Linked DNA regions of Mytilus edulis. The protein of the gene in region 1 purifies or fractionates together with the protein of each later gene. This does not show direct contact. Links are inferred from orthologs where the notes say so. Each region holds a gene or a part of one and is shown in the gene's direction. Other genes may lie near its edges. The genes, in order: DNA polymerase epsilon subunit 3-like, bromodomain adjacent to zinc finger domain protein 1A-like and SWI/SNF-related matrix-associated actin-dependent regulator of chromatin subfamily A member 5-like.

What was found.
Region 2: the proteins of DNA polymerase epsilon subunit 3-like (region 1) and bromodomain adjacent to zinc finger domain protein 1A-like purify together in Drosophila melanogaster (affinity purification with western blotting; 3 studies listed by BioGRID, with this or other methods). This does not show direct contact. The link is inferred for Mytilus edulis from reciprocal best matches to the Drosophila melanogaster genes Chrac-14 and Acf.
Region 3: the proteins of DNA polymerase epsilon subunit 3-like (region 1) and SWI/SNF-related matrix-associated actin-dependent regulator of chromatin subfamily A member 5-like fractionate together in Drosophila melanogaster (co-fractionation; 4 studies listed by BioGRID, with this or other methods). This does not show direct contact. The link is inferred for Mytilus edulis from reciprocal best matches to the Drosophila melanogaster genes Chrac-14 and Iswi.

What each region holds. Positions count from the first base shown.
Region 1 is NC_092345.1:43,553,049-43,561,105, reverse strand, and holds the start of DNA polymerase epsilon subunit 3-like, read left to right. Parts: upstream 1-4,859; 5' UTR 4,860-5,018; exon of another isoform or gene 5,019-5,044; intron 5,045-8,057. UniProt on the Drosophila melanogaster protein: Accessory component of the DNA polymerase epsilon complex. Participates in DNA repair and in chromosomal DNA replication. Histone-like protein which promotes nucleosome sliding of ATP-dependent nucleosome remodeling complexes.
Region 2 is NC_092346.1:30,367,224-30,374,459, forward strand, and holds the start of bromodomain adjacent to zinc finger domain protein 1A-like, read left to right. Parts: upstream 1-4,218; 5' UTR 4,219-4,701; coding exon 4,702-4,814; intron 4,815-7,236.
Region 3 is NC_092351.1:84,269,643-84,277,461, forward strand, and holds the start of SWI/SNF-related matrix-associated actin-dependent regulator of chromatin subfamily A member 5-like, read left to right. Parts: upstream 1-4,772; 5' UTR 4,773-4,893; coding exon 4,894-4,944; intron 4,945-7,362; coding exon 7,363-7,446; intron 7,447-7,819.

The sequences.
Region 1 (8,057 bases):
AAGAAGATGTGGTATGATTGCCAATGAGACAACTGTCCACAAGAGACCAAAACCTATCCAACAGTTTAGACTTCTTTTTTCTTACAATGTACATGTAGCTACATGAACCAATAAAAAAAATAATAGTTTGTTTCTGAATTTTTAATTTTTATTCCAAATTTTAGTCTTGTGTTGGTTGTATACATTGTACATGTCATTCCAAATGTTGGTTTTCTGCCCTCTAATCAGCTGGGCAATTTGCACAATTGTTTCTGCATACACGTAGTTGGTATTGGTAATGTTTTCTACTCTAGCTCAGTCAATATAGTACACTGGATATGTAGGATGGCTTGTTTCGAAGCTAAGACATTTTCACATATATGTGGTTAAATTTTCGGAATACGAAGTGCGATTTTTTTTCACACAACAATTTCTTTGAAAATTTAAAACTTTGAATACATTAAAAAACTTCATAGTTTTTACATATTTATACTATGATCCTCTACTTTCCAGATCAACACAAATGGTAAAGCTCAGTCACTTGTTAAAAATGAAACATGTTCAATATCACTACAGAGACAATTTTTGTTTACACACAACTTTTGTGTTCCTCATTTGATGGCGCATTAGTTCCTCATTTGGAGGTGCATTAGGAATATTGACCCAGCTGGTCTTGTGTTGGTTTCAGATCTCTGAAAAAAAAATCATAAATTATAAAATACAAAAAAATAAATTGATCCCAACTTATGAATTACAGCAGTTCTTAAAAATTATCCTGTGTTTACACATAATCAATATTTTTTCTATTGCTGGTCTTATAATAAACTGCAGATTCATAATTATTTTATATTGTTACTGAGATGTTTGTATCTTTGCCAATTATACACATTTTGATGATGTACATGTATGTTAGAAATTTAACACAATTTCAACAGTATATAATTATTCATAACTTATGATTAACCTTCGTTCTTATTTAAAAAATAAATTTGTTGTTAAATTGAACATGTGTTAATGAAATTATGTCTGTTCCAGAAAATACTATGTCCGCCCCTAAGGGACAGCCCTAAGCCCTTTTTAAAAAAAAAAATTCCAGCACCGACAGAATTAAAAATTAATAAGAACAACACTTCCTTTGCATTTTGGTATTTCATACACAACCACCCCCAAATAAAATTTAAGAAAAGAGCTTTCCCTGGGGGAGAGGGGACATAATATTTTCTGGAGCAACCAGTGGTTATTCTACAAATAATTAATAAAGGAAGTTTGGTTTCACAATATTGTCATTTTTCAATTAATTTAAGATATGCAAAGGATTCTACCTTAATAAATTTAGCATGTACATCGATACAACAAGACCTCATATCATATGCCAATGAACGCAATCTATAAAATCAACAAAATATAATTTGATAAATGAAATTAATATAAGAAGAATGTGTCCATGAGCCACAAATGATCTTATCAAACTTAATTTAAAGGACATATCTAGAGAACAGTAAAGCAGATGCTCTCCAAATTCAAACTCTGCATTTTATGATAATAAGCGTTGTGTATTGGTTGCATAACATGTGGTTTAGGCAAACGTTAGATAACAAAATCCAATTTTGAGTTCAATGTACATGTATGTACGTACAGTACAAGAGTTAAACTATATCACTCAGTTAAGGAGGACAGAAAAAGAGCTGATCAACTGATGTTTACCTTTTTAAAATCTTGGTCCAAATTCTTGAGCTGGTGCATGCTTAACTGTTACATGGTTACTGCAATGATTTCCTCAACCTCAGACACATTGGATCTGTGGATTTATATACAAGACTCTGGAAAAATAAATAAAAATACGTTCAATTATCTTTTATATTCTTCTGTCTGTTTCATATAAAAAAGAAGATGTGGTATGATTGCCAATGAGATAACTCTTTACAAGAGACCAAAATGACACAGAAATTAACATTTATAGGTAACCGTACTGCCTTCAACAATGAGCAAAGCCCATACCGCATAGCCAGCTATGAAAGGCCCGAAATGACAATGTGAAACAATTCAAACGAGAAAATTCACCGCCTTATTTATATAAAAAAAAATGTTAGTCCAACAAATCTTTAGGAGAACAAAGTGACAAATTTAAATGCATTCCAAAATTCATATGTTTTATGATTGATTACAACATGGTTTCTGATCACATATTTAGTGATTGTACATGTAGCTCGTCATTGATAAACATGTAGATTTCATATTATAATAAAATTGACGGTACTAATTTTCTTGCACCAGATGCGCATTTCGACAATACATGTCTCTTCAGTGATGCTCGTGGCCAAAATATTTGAAATCCAAAGTTTATATAAAAGATGAAGAGCTATAATCCAAAAGGTCCAAAAAGTATTCTCTCTACGAGAGAAGCTCTACTGTGATAGTCGAGTTGACATATTTATAGACCCTCATTGATAGGATTTCAACCTCCTGTGGTGAAAGGAATCAGAGCTTTGCATGAGGGAGATTCATTCCTTAATTTATAATAATTTCTAATATATTGTTAAATTGTACAGCAAAAAAGATGTCCCTATGTACTGTTTTAACACCTGTAAACTGGGTTTTACCCTGAAAACAAGAAAATTTTACCCAACTTTCAAGGCTAGATCCTAGTCTAAATCATTATGACACTTTCAAGACTTGGAAGGCTGTTTTTTTATTTTTTTCTGGGACGCCTTCCTACAACGACCTAATCCTATTGCGACAACCGTGATGGCTATCTTAATTTTTTTCTGTGGCGCCTATATTTTACAACATCTTTATTGGCACAATTGTCTATTTCCATGTCAGACCCAGTGATACAATGATTGATCGTTTGTTGCTCAACATCCAGTGGCAAATATTTCATGCATGTTAGCGACGACCCCCAGTGATATATGCAGCATTATCATTAATAGGCCAGGTTGGTAATATGCCAAGTTTGAAATGTGCGGAGTTTGTAATGGACCCAAATATCTAAAGTGCTGAGATGTTTAGCTTCACATTTTCTGATATTGATAACATGGATAAGACTTTTATGCTTCAATGATTATCAAAAAATAACAGAGCAGACACTTGTAGCCTTAATATATAGGGATAGTAGCTCTTGTCACAGATAGAAAACAAGTACTTGTGGCTGTGCACCCCTCCCCCTTTTTTTTACTTTCTACAGTTTTTACTTATTTTTGGATCTCCTGAAACAACACAAGTTAATCACGAAATTTAAATAACACACATCATGGCTAAAATATCTTGTATCAGTGCAATATATTGACAGTATAAGAAAAAGTATCATATTTCAACACGATCACGTATAACCGACTTGAAAGAGGCGCCCAACACGGTAACAGCTGTTTTATTTTCATCAATCAAACTTGTTTTTATCATGGAGAACCTATTTGGTGTAATGTGCAATCATTATTTTACCTTTTTCTTTGTTCTGGAATCTGGATCAAGCTATATTTCCACTGCCTCACTGTTTTCAAAAATCAAGCGGCAACAGTGCGCATGCTCAGACTTTTCATAGGATGCAGCGGTAAAACCCGAGTACTGCTGAACGTTACACTAATCAAATCGTGAAAAACGATTATGAAATCCAAGTGATAAATGATGACAAAATTTTAATGATATAATAAACAATAAATATTCATATAAAATACATATATTAGAACATTAAAATTGGATTTGTAATATTTTCTTTGACATCTTGATGCAAATTATGTCTGCGGGAAAAAAGGGGGATTTTTTTTTTAAATCGATAAAATCGTAAATATATTCTAGTGAAGGTGAATGATTGATATATCCAGGAATACTCATTATGACATACCCCAAAAATTCGTCCCATAAAACCAGATTTTTACAATGTATTCACTACGTTCTTATAATCGGATTATGACAGTTATAAGCACGTTGTCACAACGTAATAAAATGTTACGTCCTGACAAGGTACTAAATTTACGTGAATCCGACGTAATTTCATAACGTCGTCTGTACGTCTGCATCCAACGTTGGATTTTTACGTTCCCACAACGTTGGTACGACGTAAACTCACGACATGACGTTCAGACGACCATTAACCGACGTCGGGAGTACGTCGTGTGTTTACTGGGTCGGTACTCAGAGTAGTTTTTGAGGTGAAAATACGGCCATATTTGTCCATTAACAATCATACAACTGGTACCATTCTTCATGTTCTTACAAATTTTGTTTTTCTATTTTGTGTCTTGTATCCCTGAATAATCATTATAGTCAAAAGAAATATAATGAAGAAATCACCGGTAGCATACAGCACATGTAATAAGAAAAACAAGACAAAATGGACCATGGCACTGTTTTTGTAAACTTATTGGAGCTGAAATTTTGACAAGGAAATGTTATAAGTTGAACTAGAAAATGCAATTAGTTAATTACTTTCACTTTACGTGCTATGGGTGTACCTTAAGCCCAATGAAGTGTTCGCTGTTTACCAAAATTAGGACAGTCGTAATTATGTACCGACCGAGCCTCTTGACAACTTTTCCAACTTCCGGTTATGGGAATGGTCTGCATAGAATAAATTAAAAACAAATGACACATTATGTGCATAAAGTGCTTATTAATGAAAATATGAAACATTAGTTTTAACGATCACTTCTATACATTGATCATTTTAAAGGAAAAATGGAACATTAAATTTTCTGCATATATGAAAATATATCTAAAGGACCGAAAATATAGCAAGAAATGAAATACCAATATATTTACTAATGATATTTGAAATCATTTAAATTCGAAATTAAGAAGGAAAGATATAATAACTGGATGGACTTGCATTAATCATTTATATAAATATTGACAGATATTTATCTTTATTTGATTGATCGTCTTTTCGGTTTTTAACAGCACCATGGCCAGTAGTAATTAAAATGGCGGGAAGCTTGGAAAACAAAGAAGGATACCAACATAAGTAAACGTCCTGCAACATTAACTCGACAAGAGACTTTCACATCAACTATCCTGTTTTCTTCATCTATTACATTTTGACAAATGTAAGATTGTACTGACGTCCGGGGCTGTTAGTGTTATTTTTTAACACAACTAAAAATTAAATTTAAAATTAATAAATTTTAAAATAAAAATCACAGGCACTTGTTTACTCGTAAATAAACGTTAATAGTGGGTCTTCCCATGGAGAGAAACAAGTGGCTGTGATAAAAATCTAGTTCAGCCGTAGTCGTTTCTACAATAATAGTCAATTCGGTCACAATATTCTAATGTTGTTATATATGCCTCCTTAACCTTATTTTATGATGGAGCTATTCGCCGTTTCAGAATCTAATGCATCCTGGGTAATATTTTCAAAAGCGTACACCAAAGCGTTTTGATTGGTTTAAAACGTCCTAAACAATCGAAATTCAACCAATGACGTAACGTTATTTTCACTTTGGGGTAAGAACAATACACCTTATCGCTAATCCCGGCTGACCCGCCCGCTTGAACTTTTGACGCATACAACAATTACTTTTCCATTGGGCCGTTTTTATTAAATAAGTTGGTTTACGGATCCGCCGACCCGAATTTTCGCTAATTCAAATAAAAATAAACGCACATTTGTCCTTAAAAATTATTTCCGCCGACCTCATATTTCTCGATTTACTAAGAAAATTTTAAACGGAATTTTTGTGTTTACGTTTCGTATTCTGGTTCCTATTACTGCATTAAAAAATCGTTAACCAGTGCACCGGAACGTGACTGGTAAGCTTTCCCCGACACCCAAAAGCGAAAACAAGTCGCCCTCTTCTTGACGATACTCGCTTTCAGTCGCTTCCGTCATCGGACATTTTCAATTTTTACCAAGTTGATGAAACATCATTTTTTTATTGATAATTAAAGAAATTAAGACATAAACGGTTCATTATCTTAAGAAAAGAGGCTGAAGCATTGTATTTGCAGTGTGTAGCAGTTTATTTGATAAAAAATACAACTTTTTATCACCTCGACCATTTTTGCAAGTTCCGGTGCTTGTTACTCGAAAACGTACATCAACCTAAATTTCGGCGGTAAAATAAGTTTGTTACTTCATTTAAACGTGATAAAAGTTGCCTCTAGTAAATGTTTAATCCATTTATTGCATTAAAAACGTCATGTTCCTTTCCAAATAACTTGTCAAACATCGTTTATTTTTGTAAATTTTCTTGCATTCGTCCGCCATTTACCGATTCCTAAAGTACGGATCTGAACCGGACCAGCTAAACCGAAATCCGTACTTTTACAATAATTATTACGGACGCACGGATGGAACAGCTGACAGACGAATATTGACCACAAAGGAAAAAATTACGTATTTCACATGCATTAAGAGACTTTTAGTTACATCTAATTGATTGGTGTATATAATTCCCTATATTTTTTATGTATTGAATTTGTTTCAAACTTTATTAAAGTTGCTTAACTCGGAGACTATTACACTAGCCAGGGCCGTAACTACATTGAGGCAAATGAGGCAAATGCCTCATCTTAGAAATTAAAAAAAAAAAAAAAAAAAATGAAACAAAAGATTGTCTTAATTTCAAATTGTTTTCACGGAAAGTGTCTAACAAGAAGCAAGTTCTCTTCACTCTCTGGTGTCGCCCCTGCATGTTTTTCGTGATCCATGTTTCTTTTTTACTTTTAGTTTTCAGAATTGATGGTCTGTTGTTTGAACTTCTGTGTCCCGGGTTTGTCTTTTGCTCATTTATTGTCCTACTTTATGACAATAGTCTGAGTGTTGATTTTCATTTGTAAACGTGTAGTTATGCAATGTTGCATGCCCACTGATGTCCAGATATTGTGCGAGAAAATATTTTAAAAATATACTAGACATAAAAAAAAAAAAAAAATGGTCGTTTCTGCATTGAGAATTGAATTTGATATCAGAGAATTCACAACTGGCTTCTTTTGGTTAATAAAACTAGATAGCTGGCATGGTTTAAATTAGAGTAAGGTCACCAATTTTACGGTATCAAATAATTTGAAAAAAAAGCAATAATGTATTGCCATATGACCATTTCCATTGATGTGTTAAACTTGCATTATCGTCATGTTCAGACCCTTTTACAGAAAATAAAGGAATATGGAGTAAATGTGCACGAAACCTAATCGCACACAAAGTCATTGCATAAAAAAAATACTAATGATCAATCATTTGGTCAAAGTTGCTGGAGGGTCTTCAACAATAAAAGAATCATTAATACCGTAAAACAGGGTCAAGATGGTCCCTAGTGTCGACTTAAGCAGTTCTAGTATTTAAAGCATAATACTGCACTGTCACTATATTCCAATCTAGTCATAAAAATGTCACCAAAGTCTAAGCACAATACAAGACTAAAACAGACAGACAGATCCGGTATTAATGATTAGGAGAATTACGAATTTTGCGTTGTCCATAAAACCTTAAAGACTAAAATTAAAATGAATCTATGTTTTTGCTTTCAGACCAGAATATTATCGAAAGAAAGCTAAAAATTAATTGCGTTTCAATGTCAGAAAGAGTCTGGGAAACGCTCAGAATGCACGATTTTGCGTTATTTTTCTCAGAGCTTCTGGGGGGCCTTGAGCGGTCCCAGTCCCCTCGCCAAATTTTTTTGCCTCGCTCCGCTCGGCGATATATTTTGCCTCACTATTTGAAGAGGCTAGTTACGGCCCTGCTAGCTAATATCAATATATTATGGCCCAGCTTAAATTATATATTTTTTGATGAGAGACACTGAATTTCATACTTAAGATAGTTTTGAATTAAATTGTAATTGATATATTATAATTTCTTTACATTTTTCAAAATAAAAAAAAATTTTTTTTAGTGCTAGATATTAAATATTTAGTTGGAAGTTTCTCACAAGAACCTAAGTAAAACTTTTAATTTGAAATGTTACTTTAATTGTATACTCAGATATGAATTGAACAATATAAAAAGAACATTATTTAACATATGACCCTTTATACTATAGTAAAATCCAAACATTGTAGGGCACCAAGCGAATGAGCACTTCTCTTTCAAATCTCACCACTTCTCCCTATCAGTTTCAAAAAGAAAAGTCACTTCTCCCTAT
Region 2 (7,236 bases), on another chromosome or scaffold:
TATCGATAGGACATCTGACATAAGTGGTGCTTTAGTGCAATCAATCTTGATCGGATATATGAAATATGTCTGGTGCTTCAGGGAAACGATCTCATTAGGATATCTGACATATTTTTTTCTTTCTTCTCACGAATAGTTCGATATCTGACATAACTGATAACTGACATAATCTATGTTTCAGAGAAATCGAGTTCAATAGGATATCTGACATGATTGGTGCATAAGGGGAATGGATCGCAATACTATATTTGACGTTACTGGTGATTCAGGGAAATATATCTCACTGGGATATCTAACATAAATGGTGCATCAAGGTAATCGATCTCACTTTGATATCTGTCATGATTGGTGCTTCAGTAAAATCAATCTCAAAAGGAAATCTTACATAAATGATGCTTGAAGGAAATGATCTCACAAGGATATCTGATATAATTTGTGTTTCAGAGAAATCGAGCTCAATAGGATATCTGACATGATTGGCAGGTAAATCGATCTCAATACTATATTTGACATAACTGGTGATTCGGGGAAATATATCTCACTAGGATATAAGACATAAATGGTGCATCAAGGTAGTTGCAATTGATCTCACTAGGATATCTGACATGATTGGTGATTCAGGAAAATCGATCTCATTAGGAAATATGACATAAATGATCCCACAAGGATATCTGATATAATCTTTGTTTCAGAGAAGTCGATCTCACTGGGATGTATGGCATAAACGATGCTTTGAAAAGGACACATCTCACAATGACATCTGATATAATTGATATTTTAGAGAAATCGATCTCAAAGGGATATCTGACGTAGATGGTGATTCAGTGAAATCCATATCAATTTTATGTTTGACATAACTGGTGCTTTAGAGAAATCAATCTCCCTGGGATATCTGACATAAATGATGTTTCAGGGCAATCGATCATGATCGAGTATCTGACATAAATGGGTTTTTTTCCCAGGAAAATATATCTCAGTAGGATGTATGGCATAACTGATTCTTCAGGGAAATCGATGCCACAAAGATATCTGATAAAGAATCATTTTGATAACAGCGTAAAATTCATAAGACAATTTCAGTATTTTCTTTGCGCGCTCAGGTTTTAAATTTATTGGGTCAGATTAGGTAGACGTTCGTCTGTAACACCTACTTGTCAGCCATTTAAACTGGGGGGAAGGGGTCGCCAATAATTCTAAACGCCTAAATCAAATCAAACGAAAAACTAGCATAGAACAAGACCTTGTGTGTTGATTTAAATGTTGGGTACTTAAACTTTTTTTTTCTTCTCGTGCACCTGCATGTACCTTACTCTTTTATTCTATTTAAATCGTCATTGGAAGTCCTCTGGCAGTGGTCGTAAAATCACTGTTATCGTTAGCCTATGATAAACAAGTTAAACTGGGTTAATGATTCAGTATAACTACCTACATAGTATTGCGGTTGTCCATGCTGTTATGAAAATGATTCTAAATGGTGCTTCAGAGAAATCGATCTCAATAGGATATCTGACATAACTGGTTCTTCGTGGAAATAGTTATCATTAGGATTCTGACATGCAGTGGCGGATCCAAGGGGGGGGGGGGGGGTTCCGGGGGTGCGCACCCCCCTTTATTTTTGCCGATCAATGCATTTGTATCGGGACATATGTTTTGCACCCCCCTTTGCCCTGGGTTAGCACCCCCCTTTCGAAAATTCCTGCATCCGCCCCTGACATGATTGGTGTTTCAGAGAAATCGATCTCAATAGGATATCTGACATACATGCATGGTGCTTCAGTGAAATCCATATCAATTTTATGTTTGACATAACTGGTGCTTTAGGGAAATAGTCTCACTAGGATATCTGACATAGGTGGTGCATCAGGGAAATCGATCTCAATAGGATATGTGACATAAATAGTGCTTCACGGAAATGTATCTCAATAAAATGTATGACATAGGTGGTGCATCAGGGAAATCGATCTCAGGATATGTGACATAAATAGTGCTTCAGGGAAATGTATCTCAATAAAATGTATGACACAGGTGGTGTATCAGGGAAATCGATCTCAGGATACCTGACGTAAATGGTGCTTCAGTGAAATCGATATCAATTTGACATATCTGGTGCTCTAGGGAAATAGATCTCACTAGGATATAAGACATAGGTGGTGCATCAGGGAAATCGATCTCAATAGGATATGTGACATAAATAGTGCTTCAGGGAAATATATCTCAATGAAATGTATGACATAACTGGTGCTTCAGAGAAATCGATCTTAATAGGATATCTGCCATATAAATGGTTCTGCGGGGAAAAAATAGTTCTCATTGGGAATTCTGACATATTGGGGCTTTGGGGAAATCGATCAAATTTATAGGACATCTGACATAACTGGTCTTTCAGGGGAAATCGATCTCACTAGAACCGATATATAACATAAATGATGCTTCAGGAAAAATCGATCTTACTTGGATATCTGACATAATTGTTTCTTCGTACTTTATTTTGGGCTTTTTAATTTGTTTGATTCGAACGTCACTGAAGAGTCTTTTGTAGACGAAACGTCCGTCTGAGGCAAATACAAAATTTCAATCCTGGTATCTATAATGAGTTTATTTAAAGGGTAATATAATTCATAAACTGTATTTTACCTCGAAGAATTTTCTCAAAATATTCCTCTCCCCCTTTTGAGCTCACCTGGCCATGGCCCAATGGTCCAAGTGAGCTCTTATCATCACTTGGCGTCTGTCGTCCGTCGTCCATAAATTTTTACAAAAATATTCTCCTTTGAAACTACTGGGGCCAAATTTAACCAAACTTGGTCACAATCTGCATTGGAGTATACATGCATGGTATATATGAAGATGGTCGCCGTGGCTAAGAATAGAACGTATGGGTAACGGTAGATTTTGGTCTATATCTCTGAATCCAAAGCATTTAGAGCAAATCTGACATGGTATAAAATTGTGTATCAGGTTAGAACCTATCTGTCGTAAAATTTCAGACGAATCAGACTAGCTGTTGTTGGATTGATACCCTTGGTAATTTTAAGGACTGTGTGAAAAATTGAAGTATCTGGTAATTATCTTGAATATTATTATAGATAGAGATAAGCTGTAAACAGCAATTCATTCAATAATGTTCAGCAAAGTAAGATCTACAAATAAGTCAGCATGACCAAAATGGTCAATTGGTCCCATAAGGAGTTCTGTCCTTTAAGGTCAAATTTAACAATTTTTCTTCTCCTGAAACAACTGAGACAATTTTTTATCCCAAACTTGGCCACAATAAGCATTAGGGTATCTATCTTAAAGAATGTGACCAATAAAACCTGCTTGCCAAACAACATGGTAGACATGGCTAAAAATATAACATAAGGAGAATAAAGTTTTTGACTTCGATATCTCTAAAACTAGTAAAGCAAAAGTATATCGGTTGCATTATTTCATGCATCAATAGTCCATTTGCCAATTACCAATTTGCTTCTGTTATAAAGGTGTTATGGGTGTCTTTCTACATCTTGGTTTTGTGAAAAAAACAGATTCTAAGGTCCAGATTTTCAATCAAAATAGAAAAATTTGATGCAGGAATGCCGATAACTAATGTGAATTTTCATTCAAAAGAACAAATCAATAAGAATATATTTTATGAAAATTAATATTTTTACAAGTGTATGTTATTTTGGTTGATTTTTAATTTATTTTTAAATTAGCATTTAAGGGGATATGTAGCTCTGAAACAATGCATTTTCTGAAGGAATCTATATATACATGGAATTTTCATATGTAGTATTTTAGCCGAAAAAAACGTACGGTGACCCTATACCTTTTCTTTTGATATTCTCAAAGACTTGTATTAAAGTATCTTTTCGAAATTTATATTACAATTCTATCATTTAGTTTAGTTTCAACTTATTTTCCTTTATAATCCATACAAAATATGCCATTTTGTCACAACCTGAAGCTTGAGAAATGCACGGTGGCCTATCTTTTTTTTTTTAAACATATATCAATATATATTACGTTTTGGTAAAAAAAATAAACAAATTCTATCATTTATATTTTAGACTCCCATATGAAAATATCAGGTGAGCGACACAGGATTCTTGGAGCCTCTAGTTTTATATGCATTGATCTGTTGTTACTTCCCTTGAACAATTTCTTGTCTTAGAGGTCGATTTAGTGTGCAAATGGGAAATTTACATACCTTGTCAATCGTTCATTTCGTGACCAATCAGATAGTTTGTTTCATTTATAGACTCCGCCCAAATTGTACTTTTTTCCTTCGAAATTTTCGAAGACACTACGGTTTTACCCTTGTTTTTTTGTTTTATGTTATGTTTAAAGACATATTATCGCAACCATTAGTTAAATAAATTACTTAACTTTCATCGTCAAACAGATTTTCGGATCAAAGAAGAGATAAAGTGGTAGAAAAACGATCGTTTTCTCCCCCCTCTCTCGGTCGGCGCGAAGTTCACATTGTGCTGTTTCACGCTACAATCAAATGACCTCGTTGTCAGACGGAGATCGAAGACCTAGCAGTCTTAAGCATAATAATTAGTTTTCAAAGTTTACATGTGTTAATTTTAGCTGACATTTTATGACACATCGAATGAAGATTCTGTCACAGCATGCAGAAAGCTATTTTGTGTCTTATTTAACAGTTTCAACAAAAATTTCTTTGTGATTCCCTCCAAAAAATTTCAACAGTTCAAGATGCCGCTATTACGAAAACAGCCATTTCACAGACAACCAGTACCAAGTTCCCTTCAGCCTGATGACGATGTATTTCATTGTAAGCTGACAAATGAAATCTTCAAAGATTATGAGTAAGTTTATTTTCTTAGCCCTGATGTTCGGTGAACATTATTAATCTAATGTATGAAAATGTGATTTAGTTTTCTGTCGGCCATTTTGTATCCTTCCTATATATAAATTTACACTAAATAACAGAAATATGTTCCTCAAAAATATTTTGTTTGTTTGTTTGGTAATTTATATCATTATGAAATGTGTTTTCCTCTAGCTTCTACAAGAATGAACTACTGAATGTGTATATGGGTCAATTAATTTGGTTAATCTATTCTGATAAATATGCATATTTGTTATATACAAACCTACATCAACCTGGAATTCTATCTTTTAATATACTTAAGCATGTGTGAAGGATTCTGAGAATACAAAATGTATTCCCATGCAAGTACTCAATCCATGTTGAAGTCGTTTAGTATTACTGCTTTTCAAGGTAGTCAGCTCCGCTGTATCCACAGAAAGATATCATCTATTGGTGGACAAGTGCTGTTTTATATTTAAGAACAGAATCATAAGTTTTTTCTTAGAAATGATACTGTCATTTCGTAATCTTTCTAAGCATATCTGCATACAACAATAGAATACAACTTTTGAAGCCCCCCTCTCTATCACTATCAGGAATAGGGGTTTAGTAATAGCTCTAAGTATGTATTTGCATAGTACTTTGTAAATGGTATTTACATCAAGGCTAAGATGTAAAGGTGCGTTTGATTAATAATTCATCTGGTTGCTTACGGTAAGCCTCTGGATGCTTTAGATAAGCATTTTGAATTTGTTTGGTTGCAAAATTAGCCTGTCTACAAGCTGAGATACAAGATACTTTTTATATAAAATGGATTTTCAAAGAAAAATCTTGTTGGACTCTTTTTTGTCAACAGTTTTATAAGGCCAAATAAAAATATATGTGTGGTTCCAGTAACCCGACCGACCCTAGTTAAAACCCCTCGACACTAGAACTTTTTTTTTTCATTTCTGAAAAATATATTTTCAAATGATCAAATTTTGAGGATTGTGAATTAAAATGATTAAATTCATAGATTTCTGTCACAGTGATCTGGAAGGTTTTTTTCCCTATAGGCCCAAGGCCCCTCAAAAATAAATTCAATGGGCCATTTTTAAAAATAATGGGCCTTGTTGTCAAATGAGTGGGCCATTTAAATTGACTTCTGTAAACAAAAAAAAGTATCAGTATATTTTGGCAAAGAGGTGTACATGTTGGTACATTTACTTACCTTTATGATTTTAAATAAAATCATGGATATTGTTCCTGTGATTTTGTAATTTCAATTTCAATGAATATACAATAACTTCTTCAAACCCGAACAATATTTAAGTTAACCTTTATTTACAATGTTTAAACTGGTACTGTTGCCTTGTTCATGTCCATGGTTGTTTTTTTGTACATTAAATTTGGGTCTTCGTCGATACCATACTTATTTCAGAGGACATTTCAGGCATTTCCTCTGCATTTCTTGTATTATTATAACTTCATCACGGTGACAAGAATAACAGTATAGAGTACCATTAATTTATAGCACAAAACAACAAATCGCTGAAGTCATGATTACAAAATGTCAAAACGTACCAAAGACCATAAAATGACAAGGACAGTTAAACGTCTTTTATGGAGACAAACACTATATTCCTAAAAAGTCTTTGGGGTTCTTCAATCGAAATAATAGCAAGCTAAACTTAATGAGATTATTTTTAGAGTTAAATCTCGTCTGTACTAGCCAAATTTCACAAATTTAAAGTTGTTTATAAAAAAAATATATCATGAATAATGGTTAATTACGTTTTTTCGGGTTATCAGTTAGATCACATGGTCTTATTTTTACAATAGGAAAATACCCGATACATGAAACTGCCTGGTTTTATTATCATAGGGAAACACCCGAGACGTCCCAAAAATATATAGGTGCTCCTATTATTGGAGGAACATTACACTGTTATGTACACACGCATGGCGGCACGGAACACGATCGGAAATCCAATTGATGATATCGAAGCGTTTCAAAACGTAGTGAAAAATATCGTGCGCCACGTTGGCGCTTACATTTGTCACTGTATGTGCCATTTCTTGTCAATAGGCGCAGGGCGCACGTCCTTCCCGATCACTGCTGTCATCTGAATTTCCATCACAAGTATCTGTTATGGCTAAAATGCAAGAATTCATAACAGAATGCAACAAAATTAACTAAAAACGTATCATGACTGTTTATTTTACAACCAAACATGTAAAAATGGTGGACTTCCGGTTGGGGTGTGTATAATACCAGAAACAATTTCGGTAAACACACAAATTTTCCGGATTTTGACATTCAAAAAAAAAATATTACAAAAAATAAAAAAAATTGCAGACCTACCGAGCCTATTTTTTAACAGTATGTAACTGGAACCACACATATAATTTGATTTGGCCTAAGATCTGATGAAGAT
Region 3 (7,819 bases), on another chromosome or scaffold:
TTACACGCCATTTTTTCTGATATTTTAAAAGCTCTTAAAATCATAAACTGGTTATAAGTTTTTTTTTTATATAAATCATCAGGTTTCGATCACCACTAAATTCGGCCCTTTTATAGCTGACTATGCGGTAAGGGCTTTGCTCATTGTTGAATGTCGTAAGGTGACTTATACTAGTAGCTATTAATTCCTGTGTCATTTGCAATCATACCACATCTTCTTATTCATACTGTAGATAGGTTCTTTTATCATACCGGGAATTTAAGATTGGACCTAATTTCTAACGGTTATTCGGGATTAACACGTTGGGATTTTAATCTAAAAATAATTGAGAGTTAGTAAAAACCTAGTTTTTATAAATTCAGTAAGAAACGCGAAGAGAATAGCACATTCTCCCTACACGAGGTGTCTGATTTAATATCTTCACGTATTTATGTTATTGACACGAATGATAATTCCAGTAAAAATAATGGACACATTTTGGGGATTGGACACGTTTGAGTGGGTTTTTTTTTAATGGACACGTTTCTAAAGGCGTTTATACAAATGACACGCTTTGGCGCTGTTACAACTAGACATGTTTTGCAGTTCAGTGACGTCGATGTGGACACGTTTTGGGGAATCGGACACGTTTGGGGGGAAGGACATGTTTCTGAGTGTTACATATATATCGCTGATATAAACTTCAATTTGAAAAAAAATTTCAATTTTCAAAATGCCGACACCTACAAATAGATAGATGGGCGCTTAATGTAGTACAGTGGCAACTATTACATACATATGAATGCTGAAAATAATGTTTAGTGTATAGGTTTATATATGATATGAATGGTTTCAACTTTTACAAAACCAGAGCTATAAGTTTGATATAAACGGTTAATTTGTTTGGCCTTTTTAATTTTATTTGACTTTATTTGCCTTTTTAACTAGATTTGAATCGAGCGTCACTGATAAGTCTTTTGTAGACGAAACGCGCGTCTGGCGCAAAAACCGACAAAATTTATATCCTAGTATCCATCTATGATGAGTTTATGTAGATACCTTGTAACAATATCTTGGCTCCAGTCTACTAATATTTGGTCGTAGTACTCTTAATTTCAGCGTAAATAAGATATATATATATATATTTTATAACAACATTTTCGTTTAATAACACCTTATATCAGTACCGTTGTGCAAATCTTTAGACTGATTTAATTTTTTCCTTATCTGCATAGTATCGCCTATTCTAGACGATCCGGTACATAGTAAATTTGCTGGTTGGTCCTTTTTATAGACTTTTATATATATATATATATATATATATATATATATATATATATATATCAGTCTAAAGATTTGCACAACGGTACTGATATAAGATGTTATAATACGAAAATGTTGTTATTAAATCGTGCTGACAAATATTTCGGCTCAACAAATGGCCTTCTTCAAGTGTCACAAGTTTTAACAATACTGATACATGATGTATAAGGTGTAAAAATAGATCAGTAATAATACAGGTAAGTTTTGGTCGATTGATTTTTAATCCAAAAGCCTGAATATCATAATATAAACAAAACACTATAAATCAATATACGTGACTGTGTATATTAACAATAAAAATGAGTGAAAAAACAAAAACGCTAGTATTTCTTATTGATGCCGTTTGGATGATGTACATAAAGTTCCTTTATCCAAAAGCTTTCCCTAACCTGTCGCTGGGCATCACTCCAGTGAATATTCTGTTCAATCACTAGAATTTTCATGCGGTTAAAGTCATCAGGTTTGTGACCCGACTGTCTGAAGTGCTGAGAAACTGGGAGAAGTGGCTTCTTAGAGATATCACTCCTATGGCCATTGAGGCGTTTGTGGAAAGGCTGCTTTGACTCACCAACATATTGGAGGCCACAAACCGAACATTCTAGTATGTAAACAACATTCATACTTTTGCAGGTAACATTATATATATATAAAAAAAATAATAATAAAAAAGGCACATCAGCGAAGCTTCATATTTCAGAAGTATTGTATTTATATATATATATGTCATATTTCCATTGCCCTTGTCCACATTTTAGTAGTTCCGCGATTTGCTAACAAAAATTGAATAGCTGTAAATTTTATCAATTGAATTTCACACTGTTAATGGTTGTTAACTATGATCAATGTGAACATTTCGAGTTCTAGTCCTTATCAGGGGCGGATCCAGCCATTTTAAAAAGGGGGGTTCCTAACCCAGGACAAAGGGGGGGGGGGTTCCAACCCCCGGAACCCCCCCCTCTGGATCCGCGCCTGCTTATCTCTAATACCATAAGCAATACCGGTCAACTTTATTTGCTCGAATTGCATTTGTGCACATGACTTTTTTTATAACTTTATTTTCTTGGTTAATTGGTGAAGGTTGAGGGTGGTTTTTTTTGTATTAATGATTGAAATGTGTCAAAGTCCGTCAGGCAGATTTCATCTGACCTTAACTTTTATTTATGGTTTATTATTTAACAAAGTTAAGTTTTTATAGCACCGCAGGTAAATTATCACGTTGTGATTTGTTTAACGCCGTAACGTGGTGGCCCCCTATGAGACCGTAAGGGGTTCGTGACGCGTTAATTGTGACGTCATCTATTAATGTTGTTGTGTTTCATAGTTTATTTTTCAACAAAACGCAGCAGTAAAAGTCTAGCGTGCGATAAATTCGTTATACGGTTAACTACTGACCTCCTACGGATCCATAGAGTGTGTATAAAGTCCATGGGGGACTCGGCCTCCTAACCCCCTATGGATTTTAATTTTACTAACCCTCTATGGATCCGTAGGTGGTCAGTAGCGAACCATATTTAACTTATAATGTGACACTTTTGTTTAAGTCAAACTTTTATCTTGAAAATAAAATCAATTACGATCATAAGCAGGCGCGATAATTTACATTTTAGTGCGTGCATTATTGTATGAATAACACGTAGTGTCTATTTATGTTGAAAAACGAAGGGTGACATTTTTTCCGCATGTTTGATTTGTTTCCCGCTCGTTTGTGAAACTTAATTGTGAATTGTTAGACAAAATTATGAAATTTAAGAACAATGAAATTTTGTTTGGAATTCTTTGTTGGTTTTAGCCAACCTAACCCAAAATGAAAGGTGAGCTTTTCTCATTACATCGTTCGTCGTCTTCCATTAATTTTTACAATAATCTTCTCCTCTGAAATTACTTGGCTACATTTAACAAAACTTGTCCACAAACTTTTGTCGGTTTAAAAGGTCGAAAGAGCTTATTCTTTCCTGTTTTGTATGCTTTTTAACGACTTTAAATACATTTCCTTTTATTTGATTTGACAATCATCATTGGGATATAAATCAAGTTTTTAAATCATGTTTCGGTTATCCCGCTTACAAGTATGTTTATTTTGGCCGACATGCAACATCGGGGGATTAGGGAGTTTTGTCTGGTTTTTTTTAAAACCGCAATAGATAAAGAAATCGTTGCTTTTCATAATTCATTTGTGGTTTCCAAAAAAAAAAAACACCGGGTCTTATACAAATACAAAACCGGGTCGTTGTGTAGTAAACAACTCTGATAACTCCGGGTCTTTCTATTTGTCATTTATGTCCATGCACAGAAATACAAGTAGTGAGGTTTTCAAAGTGGCTATAGTCTTGCAATCTCCATGTAAATATCTTCCGTCCCGTACCTTTCTTTACAATGAGTATAAATGAGGGGGGATAGGACCTTTATCGGGACTCCGGGATCGGGTGTTTTTAAGCTCGGGATTTCGGGATTGACCCATTCGGGATCCGGGAATTCTTTTTTTCGGATTTCGGGACGTCGGGATTAACTTTATTTAAATTCGGAATTTTGGGATTTCATGTTTTTAAGCTCGGGATTTCGGGATCAGGACCCCTCCTATCCCCCCTCATAAATTAACAGGAAATTAAAGGCAAGGTTCACTATAAATGTATCATCTTAATTTGCAATTTCTACATTAATCTATAAAGATTACAGAAAATATAGCACCTCAAAATCGAAAATTGTATGTATTTATACTCTTGGATATCATAAACAAATAGTGCACAAATACCTACTTTTTCCGTCTGCCTGTTGATGTTCCATCACAGTTCCGAACATCAGATATCATTGAGTTCACACTTTTTACCGGGATAGTTTAGACACAGTGTACATGTGCTGAGTTTTAACTAACAAAGTCACACAAAATAATTCTCTGAAATTGTAATTTTGGCAAAAAAATATACAAAAAAACGTCAGAAAACTATTCTCGGATATAAAGAAAACAAAACGGAAAAAATAATATTAGATGGCAGTTTTATTATTAAATGGCGAAATAACTTTAAATAGGTGCCTATTTGACAAGGTGCATTAGCAATATAGAATATAGGTACCGAATACACCTTATCGCTAATCCCGGCTGACCCGGCCGATTGAACTTTTGACGCATACAACAATCACTTTTCCATTGTGGCGTCAGGTATTTTGTTTTGTGACGTCAAAAATTTACGGGAACCTGTGTGATATCTAGTTATGGCGGACAAATAGCGATAAGGTGTATTGACCAGGTCACGTATTCCTCGATGGGTACTCCAAATAAAGGAGGGATCTACGTACATACATAAATTAGACTAATGTCTGTCTAAATTGTAAAGTTATTTATCCAACCGAGTCTATTAAAGTTGTGAATAACTAAATTTTAAGGTATGCGAAGCAAAAAATAAACCAAAAAACAAATGTTCAATTCTGGGTCTAATTCTAAGGTCAGAGTAAAGGGATATATTTTAGCATTTTCCATAACAATTGCGCAAGCGTGAATTTAACTTCCGGCAAAGCGCAAATTTTGCCGGTGATTCGAAACGACAAAGAAAACAGCATATATTTTAGCAATTAGTCTGAGTATAGACCAAACAAACCATGTCTGACTCAGAGGCTGAAAGTACCAACGATGAACCAATGGAACTAGCTGTAATTAGCCTTATAGAAATTGTGGAAAACGTTTAACAACAAACTGATATATAAAAATTTGCATTTTTGCGGGAAATTGTCGTAAAACTGTTATTGAAATATTACCAAACAATTAATTTTCTTAAGCCCTAACTGTTTTACTCGTACATCATGACATACTTTGTGGTTTAGGGTTCATGAAAACAAATGTACAAAAAATGGCTGTGTCACTGTCTGTGTTTACAAAACTTTACAAATCTCAAACTACTGAGTGTATAGTACGGTATCAGGTCCGTTCGCGCCCAATATACTTTCGCACCCTACACGTTCGCACCTCGCACGTTCGCACCCAAGGTCCGTTCGCACTCTACACGTTCGCGCCCAATTTTAATTCAAATTCGAGTTGAATAATTGGAAAATCATGATTGTTGTTTTTAATTGCTTTCGTGTAAATACTGAATGTATTTATAGCTTGGTATGAGTAAAAGATTGAAGATTTTAAATGAAAAACACAAAAGATAATTGTTTTTAACAGCTTGGTCCCTTTGATCTGAAATAATGAAACAATACACTATTATATATTACTATACATGATAAAATTTAATCAACACACAAAAAAAAAAGGAAACGTAGTCAGAATCTCACTTCATTTTGAAACAAGTCAATGAAACAAAAGTTATAGCAATACACTAACCAAAACATGATAAACAGTTATTCAACACAAAATAAAACGTTGACAGAATCCCACTTTATTTAGAAAGGAATATATTTTTTTTTAACAATACACTATCCAAAACATGATTAAGATTTATTCAACACAAAAAAAAATGCTGTCTCACTTTATTTTGAGACCATGAAAACAATTATACTTATAAGAATACTACTTGCCAAAACTTGATTACAAAGTTATTAAACACAAAACCAATTAAAACTGGGCGCGAACATGTAGGGTGCGAAAATGAAAGGGGGCGAACATGAGTGGGTGCGAACGTGAATGGGCGCGAACGGACCCGGATTCGTATAGTACCAGGATTTATCACAAACTGATGTGTATAACCTTGTTCTCAGTACCATATTGCATTTCTGAGAACTCAGAAAAGCATTGTACCCCTGTGATGCCAAAAAAAATATATCTGTTTAAGGTTACATCATCAAAATAAATAGGGTAGGTAGGTCGGTATGTCCATTTTATTTTTTTTCCTGCAGTCTGCCTTGCCATGGGCCGAAGTTACCCGTATTTTTAATGATTGGATTATTTCCCTTTGTTATTGATTGGGAAAAAATGACGGCAAAATGTTTATTAATCACACGAGTCGCAAATTTCCTTAAAACAGCTATCATATTCATGATTATGAACATTGGGATGCATCAGGCAACACTATCTTCACTTTTAACACGAGTTCAGTTTATTTTTCACTTCACAACTGAAATAAAATGGCTTAGGGTGGGCGCTCAAAATAGGGTCGGTCTGGTAACCATAAACAAGAAACATATAATAATTTATTTTTTTTGGCCTGAGTAAATTTAAATATAGAATGCAGGACGCAACTTCCATGGGATGAAACGTGTACCTTGAAAAGATGTAATGGCATACTTGTGAAAATGCATCGTCCATGTACTTTTTTTTTTAAATACATTTTATTAAATCAATTACATAATATATATATGTACATCAAATGGATGTTTAATATCTTGTATAAACAAACTGAACAAATAAAACAAATAAGAACATTGAAGAATCAATATTCAAATGGATGATTAATTTCTATCATCTTCAAAACAATAAGTTAAGTTTGAAATATAAAACAAAGTAATTAAATACATGTAATGATTAAAAAAAAAGTGTTACATCTTGCAAATGAAAATAGATATGTATTTTTACAATTCTTACTTGCAGGCAAAGGAATATGACTCGAATATTACAAGTTTAAATTATGCATGGTTGCAATGCCTAATAATCACAAGAGACAATGATTAATCAAATTTTGATTGGCTAATAAACATGATTAAATCCCATACTTTCTACATAAAAGCTTGGCTATAACATGTCATATGTTGATTGTTGACAGTCATGTGCTTTTTTGACTGGAAAATAGGGGATTCTGACAAACACCTGCAATAGGAGTTTTATTAAAATCTATATGATCAACATGATGAATAATAACTTTTTGGGATAAAAATGATAAAAGTGAAGCAAGTATCAATAAGAATTAATGACTAAGATAATAACGTACAATGTATACCTTGCTAATAAGAATAGAAATCCTTACCTACTGACCCTACTTTTAAAATTACATATGCCTTTACTATCAATATCATAAAAAGTGATTGATTGGTGTTTAATTCCACTCTCAGTACAATTGTGTTTCTGTATTTTGTGTGGTCAGATGTTTTGAAGCCTGTACAATTAAACACAATCTATTTAATTTTCTATTTCAGCCAACCATTGAACCAACAGTTCTACTTAAGTCTCCACCTAAAGTGAGGAATCCTCAGGAAAATGCACAATTTGAAGCTAAAATTGTAAGTATTGCCTAAAATGTTATGCTCCTGATGCAGATCTAGAGGAGCAAACATTATTATATAAAAAAGAAGATGTGGTATGATTGCCAATGACACAACTGTCCATAAGAGACCAAAATCACACAGAAATTAACAACTAAAGGCATACCTGTCAACCTGTGACGATGAAAATGCAGGTCATGACCTGCTTTGAAGAATCAAATCTCAGGTCATAACGCGTACAAACTTTTTCTAGCTGAATTTCAGTATTTATGGTACATTTTCTTATAATGTATATCAAAGATACCAAAACATCAATGCATGTTCACTTGGTTAAGTCATTTTAAATCTTATTTATTATTATTTCATTACACTTTTAATGATTTTTATAAAC